3 linked regions of the Arabidopsis thaliana genome follow. The protein of the gene in region 1 interacts with the protein of each later gene in a pairwise test. Each region holds a gene or a part of one and is shown in the gene's direction. Other genes may lie near its edges. The genes, in order: AT3G59470, LOL2 and CRC.

Region 1 (3,758 bases):
TTTTAATCGTAATATTCTATTGGTTGTTTACATATATGTTATGATTTGGTGAGATTTAGAGTAAATAGTGATTAATGTTTTTGACCAGATTTTATGCTTCTTCAATGGGACCTAGACGACGTATTTCACAAGGTTAATTTATTAGGGGCTTATCCGTTGTTAAGATAGTACTATTAAGGGGAGTAAAAGATACTATTAATCCTCCTCTTTTGACTCCGAATATTTTGTTTGTTTTGGATAACTTTCTTTTTCAATAAAATACCATTCATGGATAATTTTTTAGGCAAATCTACCAAAATCGAAATGTATTAATGAATGATTTGTTATAATTTAATTTCGCAAGGTTAATTACGAGGGGCTTATATCCGTTGTTGGATAAATATGTTAATATCCTCCTCTAATTTCGATTATCTCATTTGTTAGGATAACTTTTATTTCCGATTACACAAGATATTATCTCATGTAAATCTACTAAATCGAGAAATGCAAATCTGTTACAAATTTTATAAACGGGGCTAGCTTTGACATGTATGATCTTTTTATTTATCAGAGACTATCTACCAAGTACCAACACTATTTGGTTTCCTATTTCCCAAGTTATATTTTATGCATCAGTTATCACTACTAACTAACGACTATCCTTCTTCTTAGACGTTTTATTCCACGTAATTAAAGCGATTTATTGATTTCCAAAAAAAAAAAAAAAAGTGAAGAGAATTTTTAATAAATGCTAAATAAAATGGATATTTTAAAACGCAACGAAAGAAAACCATATGTTACAGATCTTTTTTTTTGGATTACTGATTCATATATATGTGGATGATTTATAATGTCTATAAAAATCTAGAGTTGCGAATTATCTAGGCATGACCAAAATCTAACTGTAACTGTATTTCGGACCGTAATCGGACCGTTTATTAACCGTAACCCAACCGTAACCGTATAAAACGGTTAATAACCGTAACTGTTAACCGTGAAAATAGATTCATTACGGTTAAAAAAATATAATAACCGTAACCGTATCAAAACCGTTGGTTAACCGTACGTTTAACCGCGCGGTTAACCGTATTATTAAAACCTTAAAAATATAGTTGTAACTGTGTATAATTCTAAATAAATAATTATTTTACTAAAATAGTAACTTAAATCGTTTAATATGCCCACTAATACGATCGAAGTTACTCCACTACTCTTTTTACCATAAATCAAATCATAAGTAGTTCATATTATTATTATTTATACTCTAAAAACTGTTTCTTAGTGCTCATAACATCTTTTCTTTATTATTGTTTTTGTTTGAAAAATATAATTAATTAAATCATTATAATTATAACCATTAATTTGTATATTCATTGGTTTATTTAAAAAAAATAGATAGCTGATTCGCTATAAATATTTGAAACACATAATCACGTAAAATAATTATTATTTGATATATCACTATTTATTTATTTATTTTATTATAAAGATTAATATAATATTTTGTCTCATATATTAATTATATCATAATTATCAAATAACCGTAACCGTATCTAACCATAACCGTATTTAACCGTAACCGTTTTAACCGTATATATAACGGTTAATGTTAAGGTTAAAAAAAGTTATAATCATATACGGTGGTTAATAAACCGTAACCGTAATAACCGTAACCGTGGTCATGCCTAAAACTATCTGGATAGGTTTCGATGATAACAGTGATATAAGCTAAATCATGAAATATAAGTAACTGAATATATTACTATGTAATAAGTTTTTTGCTATTCAAAATTTCTATGATTAAAAAAACTTAGCTAATGTAGTTTGGTAGTCAAATCGTATACTAAACCATCATTAGCTGGTTATCAATAGCATTTTAAAGAAAGTTAATTAAACCGGCTGAATTGGCCTGGTTGACACGAACAAAATGAATGCTAGAAATTAGAGAAATTTTGTTAGTACAAGGATGATTATGTAAATGAAGGATAATAAAGGGGTCAATTTTAACATTTATTAAAAGTCATGGACACACCGGTCTAACGGGTGCGTCGGTCGGCGAGAATTACGCTGTAAAAAATAAAATAAAATAAACATGTAATGAAAGAAAAAAAAAGAACATGAGGAATAATCATACGAGGCGAAGCGCACCGGAGGAACCATAAGTCGATAAACCCAAAGCTTAGATGAACGGTGAGTTGACTTCTTTCCGATTTTGACCCAATCATCTATCGCCACGTCATAGGGTACTGCGTCCTCTGCAATCCATACCCTGAACCGGCACCTTCTCTGTCTCTCCCCCAAATCGAAAACCTAATTCGATCGTCGTCTCCGACCTACATCTGCCGGAAAATATCTTTTGACCAGTAAGATTGTTTTATTCCTTACACCATTATTTCGGGTTTTTAATTTTCGATTTTGGATTGATCGATTAAGCCACTTAGACTAGTCCCTGCGAAAGAATGAGACTGAGAAGTTGGACATCTCGATACTTTTGGAAACCCCGATTTGTTGATGACTCTTGAATCTATGGGACGGTGAATCCCAAAGAATGGTTCCATTTTAAGTTTGTTTTGTATTGTTGGTGGAGGCTGGATGATTTTGAGAGCACTTGTACTTGAGCTTTGTTCTCATATCTTGAATTAGACAGTGGAATAGAAAAGATGACAACTTTGTATTAGTAAGATGATGAACACTTGTAGCTCTTCTTGCTAGATATTTGATTAGTGGAATTGCTGTTTTCCCTTTTTTTGAGTTGCAGTGGATTTCAGGATTGATAATGGAGTAGCTGCTGGGATGATGATGGGGATTCCTGTTGAGCTTGAGGTTACCACGGTTGAGAATCATAATGAAATGGGTGAAAGCTCTGGTCAAGCAATGATTGAGCAAGATGATGACAACCATAATGAACTCGGTGAAAATTCTGGTGAGCAAGATGAGAAGGTGGATCTTGATTCTATTCCTCTGGCTGTTGCAGATATGACAGAGGCTCAAGGAGATGAGCCTTACGTTGGCCAGGAGTTCGAATCTGAAGCAGCGGCTCATGGTTTTTATAATGCGTATGCTACTAAAGTAGGGTTCGTCATCCGTGTTAGTAAACTGTCACGGTCAAGGCATGATGGATCTCCCATAGGCAGGCAACTTGTTTGTAACAAGGAAGGTTACAGGTTGCCTAGCAAGCGGGATAAGGTTATTAGACAAAGAGCGGAAACAAGGGTTGGATGTAAAGCAATGATCTTGATTAGAAAAGAGAACTCTGGTAAATGGGTTATCACAAAGTTTGTCAAGGAGCACAATCACTCTTTGATGCCTGGCAGAGTTCGAAGGGGTTGCATTTATGATCAATATCCGGTTAGTTGTTACTCTCTTTCGTTGGTCAATATTTCTTTATATTCAGCCATTGCATTTGAAAATCCAAATTGGCGTTTCTTGGTTAGCTGGTTAATATATATATATATGCTGATGTGATACTGGTTCGTGACTAGTTGCTATATAGCATATTCATATTCATGTGCTGGTGTTTTGATTTTGCTTATATATCAGTTGTTACTAGAAAAGACTTAAATTCTAAAACTTTGCTCTCCTCATTTGCAGAACGAACACGACAAAATTCAGGAACTGATGCAGCAGCTAGCAGCAGAGAAAAAGAGAGCGGCTACTTACAAAAGACATCTGGAGATGCTATTTGAACAGATCGAACAGCACAACGAAAGCCTTTCTAAGAGAATCCAACACATAGTAGACAATGTGAGGAATCTGGAACAGAGAGATCATCAACAGAA
Region 2 (3,758 bases), on another chromosome or scaffold:
CTGCAAGTATGCTTACAGGAACGCTACTCCGGGGACTACTTTAGGAGGTATACTTACTCTATGAAACCAGATCGTGGCTTTTTGTTTTCTTTAATCATGGACATGACTTGATCTTCTGCTTTCTCTGCAGATGAGTATTTCCTTTCTCGGTTACCCGTTGTAGAGAAGAGACTTGCACAAGGTGGGATTCGCTTGGCAGCTACTCTTAATCGTATCTTTTCTGCAAAACCGAAGCTCGCAGGATTATGAATCTAAGAAAAAGATCCTTGAGAACCCACGTAACAACTCCTTTTAAGTGTTTTTTATAACACTGTGAATGGTTGAGTCATGACTAATGAGTGAACCTCCAAAATCTTCATGCAAAAATTTGTTATTTTGGGACATGGTTCAAACTTCCAATAACAAACCACACTAACGGATAACACTTTGCATTTTTTTTGTTTGTTTTCAGTTTTGTTAATTAGTATCCTTCTTCTTATCTTATGAAAAAGGTAAGTTAACATAAAGGAGTAAAATAGAAAAAGAAGTTAGATTTCCTCATTAGATTAGGAATGATAATTCGCTATATAAAGATTTCAAGTGAGACATAAAAAGCCTAAGCGCAAAACACACAAAAAAGAGTTTCTTACGTGAAAAGCTACTTAAACCCTAAAAGAGAGAGAGAAAAAAAAAGCAAAGCCGACACAGCTAGCGCTCTCGGGTGCACTTCCACAGCAATGAACGGAGAAGAGCCACCTTTTAAAAGAAGACGGATGAATTTTCTTATGCTTCCTGATGATTTGGTTTTAAACTGTTTAATTTGGCCCGCATCTCAAGATAGTACTATCCAACTCTCTCTTTAGTATCCAAGAGATTCCGCTCTATCCTTACTTCAACGGAGCTTTACCAGACCCAAACTCTCTTAGGCCGCACCGAGAGTTGTTTGTACGTGTGCTTAACGCAGATTACATATGACGCTTCTAACCCACAATTAATTTGGTTCACTCTTTGCCGCAAACCAAATAGCTCAAAAAAGATTTTAATCCCAATTTCATATCCTAAATCTGCATCATGGTCGGATAGTGTAGTGGCTGTTGGTCCTAATATCTACGCTATTGGGGGATTCAGTAATAATAGAACTAAACCTTCGTCTAGCGTCATGGTCATGGATTGTCGTACTCACACATGGTGTGAGGCCCCTAGCATGCAGGTTTCCCGTGTGTTCCAATCTACTTGCGTCCTTGATGGGAAAATATATGTAACAGGAGGCCGCGGAACTCTCGATTCAACGAAATGGATGGAGGTTTTTGATACGAAAACCCAAACTTGGGAGTTTTTGCAATTCCCGAGTGAGGAGAAGATATGCACAGGCTATAAGTGTGAGAGCATAGTGTATGAAGGAACTGTCTATGTAAGGTCGTATTTTCATAATGTGACTTACAAGCTGCATAAAGGTAGATGGATAGCGGCAGACTTAGCGATGAATAATGGATGGCGTTGCTCATCATTTTTTTGTGTGATAAAGAACGTGTTCTACTGTTGCAATAGAAGTGGTAACGGTATGATCGATTGGTATGACTCGGAAAAAGGATCATGGACAACTATGAAGGGGTTGGAAAGATTGCCTAAAGTTTATGGTAATGTTAAATTGGCATATTATGGTGGAAAAATGGTGGTGGTGTACGTGGAGTGCTAAGGAGTGGGGTAACGTGAGAAAAATTTGGTGTGCGGAAATTACGATTGAAAAACGCAAGGATGGAGAGATTTGGGGGATACTAGAATGGTTTGACGATGTATATAAAGCCAAGGATGAGCTAGAATATTTAGCTGTAGTGCATGCTGTTGTTACTACCATCTGATTGATAAGAGAGTCATGTGAACATTGTTCATTGATTCACCGATGCAATAACGAATTTATCTACTATCATTTGTTTTGATTTTCTTTCTAAATCTTTTTTGTTTGTTCTTGTATTGAATTTTACCTTACATTTATTAAGAAAGTCAACTATTTGTCAACGTTACTGGAAAGTTAAAAAGGTAAAAGTAATAATAATCTGAGAGTTAACTTTGGACATCTTCGCCGGAGCCGAGACGGAAGGCGTGATGGAAGAGATACAACAACAAACGCAGAAGGAAGAACAAAAGCACCGTGAAGAAGAAGAGGAGGAAGAGGAAGGTCCGCCTCCGGGATGGGAATCTGCAGTTCTTCCTCCTCCAATCGTCACCATCACCGCCGCCGTAAACCCCAATCCCACCACCGTAGAAATTCCCGGTATTCTTGTAGTCTTGTCTATTTTAGGGTTTATCGATTTGCTTCCATTTCTTGCTACAGTCTGATCAAATTAGAGATTTTTAGTGGAGTTTGTAGACTTTTAGAGATAACCCATTTTCGATTCCGAGAATTGATTAGTGTTTTTTTTCTGCAAATCTTCTTTGTTTTTGGGGTTGTTGCAGAAAAGGCCCAAATGGTATGTGGATCTTGCAGGCGTTTGCTTTCTTATCTAAGAGGATCCAAACATGTTAAGTGCTCCTCTTGTCAGACTGTTAATCTCGTTCTTGAAGGTTCGTTCTTCCATGGCTTTTTTATCTCTTATTCATTACTTGAAAAGCTTTTGTTGATAATCTCAGTCACTTGAAACTCTTAATGGAACAATCTTGGAATGCTCTCTCAGTCTAGTTTTACTTAGCATGTGTGAATGATATATCTATGTTCTTTTGAGAATCTCAAAATGTAAGCTTCCTGAGACCAAATGAGTTTAGTTCTTAACTGACACAAGAATGATCTTTGGTTAGGATTCTTCTCTTAAGCTTTTGTGAGCCTTTTGGTCTCTACTCCATCATAATGTCTCCTTTGTAGACCATTTATGTGGTCTTTATCCTTTACTCTTACTACTCTTGGGGAAATTGTGTGATCTTAAGACCAAGATTGTTCTTCTTAGCTTGTGAATCACTTGGCCTCATTATTGATGAAATAGCCTTCTTCTCTTATCGGTTCTGGACTTGTCGTTCTTTGTTTGCAGCTAACCAGGTTGGTCAGGTGAATTGCAACAATTGCAAACTGCTACTGATGTATCCTTATGGAGCTCCAGCTGTTAGATGTTCCTCCTGCAATTCTGTCACAGATATCAGTGTATGTATTCACAGATGGTTTTGTGCTCCATGTCCAAATCATACTTGGAAGAGTTGATACATTTTGAGATCCGAGTAAGTAATCATCTGATGAATCATTTATAATAAACTGTGTTATATTTCAGGAAAACAACAAACGACCTCCATGGTCTGAGCAGCAAGGACCACTCAAAAGTTTAAGCAGTCTCAGGAGAGCAGAGAATTAAACTTGAACCGATTTTTGTCAATTTTGAACCGGTTTGACGACTAAAAACCTTGTAATAATGTCGAAGGATAGATGAAATAAAATCACCATTAATAATCTCATTGAATTCCCATTCTTTCAGATATTACTTGCTCATCATCCTTTACTGTTTTAAGCTTTAGTGGTTAAAAAGAATGTGTATATATCCATACAAAAGTTGATATATGTACTGGACCAATATAAACAAACACAGCTCACAGTCTCACACAATACATAAAAACAAAATTCATATTTCACAGGTGAGAAAAACTAACTAGTAGTCTACTTGGCCGAATTTGTCAATGAATTTCAATAATTAGGTCGTATAAATAGCAAACAAAACATGGACTCTTACCCAACCAAATATGCATAAATAATTTACATTACAGTTTCATATAAAATACAAACTAATGGTGGGTCCTCGAGA
Region 3 (3,758 bases), on another chromosome or scaffold:
TTTTGTTGTTATTAACTAAAGAAATCCATGACTTTTATTAATCTATTTATGTATTAGTTCTAACTTTGAGAGCAAACTTCAATGTATGTATATATTGGTTCTAACATTGAGAGGAAAACTCTAATCAAATAAAATTGTAAGTAAGCTAAATATGTGTGTCGAAGTAGGAAATCTAAGGAAAGTGAAGAATGCAAAAAAGTTAGTCACTGAAAGAGACGTGTGATTGATCACTTGTCTCCTTCCAATTTCCCTGTGGGGGCAGTGCATGCACAAAAGATGGAATCCATCCTATAGCTCCTCCTTTCTTCACTATCTTTTCAAGTTTCTCTTTTTGAATATATTTTTTTTAAATTGATTTTGATTTAACTCAAAGCCCACACTTCTTAATCCATCTTCTCTATAATTAGTATGCCAACAAATATATATGCTTGTTCTGTCTCAAATTTCAACAATAAAGCGTGTATAGCTCCCAAAAAGCTATGTTGATGAGTTATCACTCTTTTTATGGATTGGACTAATAGTTTGTCTCATGTCAAAATGATTATACATAACTCAGAATCCAGCAGTATAGAGAACTTAACTTTTATATATATGTTAACCCTCATAACCTCAAACAGAAAATTTGTAGTGCAGTGTAGAAAACATCCTTAAACATAAAGTAAATCCTTTAACAAAAAAAATAAATATAAGTGGCAAATCAAGAGATTCTGCTTTTGAGTCCAATGTATGTATAGTTGGATGTTCTGAAGAAGATCCATTGTTTTGGTTGTTTCTCTACAGTTAAACGATTTTTATATTTAACTTATTAATGCAATTGAGTGAAAATTTCACGATGAAGAAAAAAGTTGTGAATCATGACAAGTTTTGTCCTCAGTTTTGCAGTGAAATCATTTTGCGTGAAAATTTTATGAGAGAAACAAAAAAAAAAAAAACTGATCAAAAGATCAGGAAAGGACCATTCTTAATTTATAACATGTGGGCAAGTCAAGGCTTGCTGGCATCAAACTTGAATAAATGTAATCATATTCACACCATGTATTGTTTAATATATAATTTTAATATCTTAATTGGTCATCTATTTTTGTCTTTTTGCATCGCATATGTGTCATAATTAATATCTGTACGATGTAGAGGCTAGTGAATATAAAGTGAAAACATAGATATATCGATCTTAAACCAATGGTATCTTACACCATATGTATATGCTTGTTTGAAAATATTTATTCTACGAAAGTATTAATTGGATTGATTGTTTTCACTCTCTTGAGTAATTTTGGATAAGTTAATAGTTATTATTTTTATTACACATGATTAAGGTGTATTGTTAATTATAAATCATATTTATACGAAGACATGGTTGAATAATGTCCAACACAGCTTATTTTAGCAAAAACTAATGTACGAGGAGTGACATTTAGGGTCTTGATATTTTTGAAGCAAAATTAAATACGTCTGCAAGATTTTGCAGAGGGAGGCATGTACTATATCATCTGCAATAGTAGCAACATAGATAAAAGTCATAAACCCCTAGATCCGGTCCCTTTAATTTAATTCATATATATGATTTGACATAAAATTACTTTTGTTAAAAAGTTTGTTTTTACATTAAATTCTTCTATCTTTTTTCTAAATATCAGTTTAATATACATTTGTAATTTTTCTTGCAATCCCTAGCCAGCTTAATGATATCATTTTTTTTCCTTCTTTATATCCAGAGAAATTTTATGCGGAAACGTAGATTAATATCATCGAACTTGTTGATCCAATTTGTTTTATCTTTTAAAACATTTACAGTGATTACAAAATAGAATATATAGCAAGTAAATATCCAACGAAAACACATAATGTCTTTAACAAAAAAAAAGAACGAAAAAAAAAAGAAAACACATAATGTCACCATTAGAAACTCGTGTCTACACCAGAAGTCATTAGTTTAAGATATTCATTTTTTTTTTTTTTGATAAGATGATATTAAATGTTGTTAAAATAAACAATAAAAATGCAATTATGGACTGCATATACACGTCCAACACTTTGACAATCTGTATCGCTCTCTCTCTCTCTCTATATATATATATGTCATGGTCTCACTATGATTGTTCTATAAATACAAGCCTCCTAACTCATAAAATAAGCATAACCCTAACTCTACAAAGTTCTTCTGATTCTTTCTCTCTCTCTCTTTCTTTCAAGAGCGGTTTTCAATCCATTCGCTAAAGACCATGAACCTAGAAGAGAAACCAACCATGACGGCTTCAAGGGCTTCCCCTCAAGCCGAACATCTCTACTACGTCCGGTGTAGCATCTGCAACACCATCCTCGCGGTAAATTATTACCTACATATAAGAAGATATATAAGCATATATATACTTGCATGACCCTATATATGTTGATAATATCACATACATGCTAAGCTATACATATTGTTGTTTATGTTATATATATATATATTTCTTCAAATTTTCGAGCTAATTTGTAAACCGAATCTACACACATATATAGGTTGGGATACCATTGAAGAGAATGCTTGACACGGTAACGGTGAAATGCGGCCATTGTGGTAACCTCTCGTTTCTCACCACAACTCCTCCTCTTCAAGGCCATGTTAGCCTCACCCTTCAGGTATATAACACTTGTGTTATAGTTATACATACGAGTATAATTCTTTTTATACAAAAAACTGATACTAAGCCAATCTTTGTTTTAACTAAGCAGATGCAGAGCTTTGGTGGAAGTGACTATAAGAAGGGAAGCTCTTCTTCTTCCTCTTCCTCCACCTCCAGCGACCAGCCCCCATCTCCCTCACCTCCCTTTGTCGTCAAACGTAATTAAGCTTATTACCATTTCTGACTCCTTTTTCTTCTATAAACTTAATCACTATCTACATATATATGATTATCTGTTGAACATCTTTGGTATTGTAGCTCCTGAGAAGAAGCAGAGGCTCCCATCTGCATACAACCGCTTCATGAGGTTTAACCTTTGACATATACTCTTTAGTTCCAAGTTAATTATGAAATTTAATGCATAAAAAATAAATATAATTTAGTACTCTTCTTCATCTTTTTTTGAAACAAAATATAAAAAGGGATGAGATCCAACGCATCAAAAGTGCCAATCCGGAAATACCACACCGTGAAGCTTTCAGTGCTGCTGCCAAAAATGTAAGACAAGTCTCTTTTTGTTACCAACCATTGTTGTCACCTTTAATATTATTTTTTCACAATTTCGTTTGTGTAAATGAAAAATGTCACAAACAGTGGGCTAAGTACATACCCAACTCTCCTACTTCCATTACTTCCGGAGGCCACAACATGATCCATGTAAGCTATACAAACTAAGTCTGCATAAGGACATATTTATATACATTATATAAAGATTTAAAATGTTTTGTTCAATTAGGGCTTGGGATTCGGTGAGAAGAAGTGAACAAAACTCAGGGGAAAAGAAGCCTAAAAATAACAAACGCATGCACGTGTGCGAGTGGCTGCGTCGTTTTTCTCATCTTGTGTTGTTCTTCTGTGTAATTTTCTTATGTATGTCATGTTGCAGAAAATGATGTTGCCTTAGTTTTTATGACTTTATATTTCTGTCTGTCTTTAGATTTGAAAGTAACGTCACTTGCTATGTCCCTTTGGACGTTTATGTCTGGTCTTTATTTGTCTTAATCCTATCAAAATTTTATATGCGTATTCCTTAATTCCATCTGGGACACTTTTTCTTTTCCCCAATGATTTGCAACTTTCAACATCGTAACT

What was found.
Region 2: the proteins of AT3G59470 (region 1) and LOL2 interact in a two-hybrid assay, tested with the Arabidopsis thaliana proteins (one large-scale study listed by BioGRID).
Region 3: the proteins of AT3G59470 (region 1) and CRC interact in a two-hybrid assay, tested with the Arabidopsis thaliana proteins (one large-scale study listed by BioGRID).

What each region holds. Positions count from the first base shown.
Region 1 is NC_003074.8:21,979,112-21,982,869, reverse strand, and holds the start of AT3G59470 (Far-red impaired responsive (FAR1) family protein), read left to right. Parts: upstream 1-2,030; 5' UTR 2,031-2,341; coding exon 2,342-2,342; exon of another isoform or gene 2,343-2,737; coding exon 2,738-3,327; intron 3,328-3,570; coding exon 3,571-3,758.
Region 2 is NC_003075.7:11,486,987-11,490,744, forward strand, and holds LOL2 (lsd one like 2), read left to right. Parts: upstream 1-1,989; 5' UTR 1,990-2,082; coding exon 2,083-2,251; intron 2,252-2,433; coding exon 2,434-2,541; intron 2,542-2,999; coding exon 3,000-3,109; coding exon of another isoform or gene 3,110-3,166; exon of another isoform or gene 3,167-3,233; coding exon 3,234-3,314; 3' UTR 3,315-3,437; downstream 3,438-3,758. Other genes in the region: ENDO5 (endonuclease 5), read left to right, coding at 1-47, 131-249. UniProt on the Arabidopsis thaliana protein: Putative zinc finger that may be involved in programmed cell death and defense response.
Region 3 is NC_003070.9:26,007,405-26,011,162, reverse strand, and holds the start of CRC (Plant-specific transcription factor YABBY family protein), read left to right. Parts: upstream 1-2,021; 5' UTR 2,022-2,222; coding exon 2,223-2,324; intron 2,325-2,502; coding exon 2,503-2,622; intron 2,623-2,715; coding exon 2,716-2,824; intron 2,825-2,924; coding exon 2,925-2,973; intron 2,974-3,088; coding exon 3,089-3,164; intron 3,165-3,260; coding exon 3,261-3,323; intron 3,324-3,402; coding exon 3,403-3,429; 3' UTR 3,430-3,758. UniProt on the Arabidopsis thaliana protein: Transcription factor required for the initiation of nectary development. Also involved in suppressing early radial growth of the gynoecium, in promoting its later elongation and in fusion of its carpels by regulating both cell division and expansion.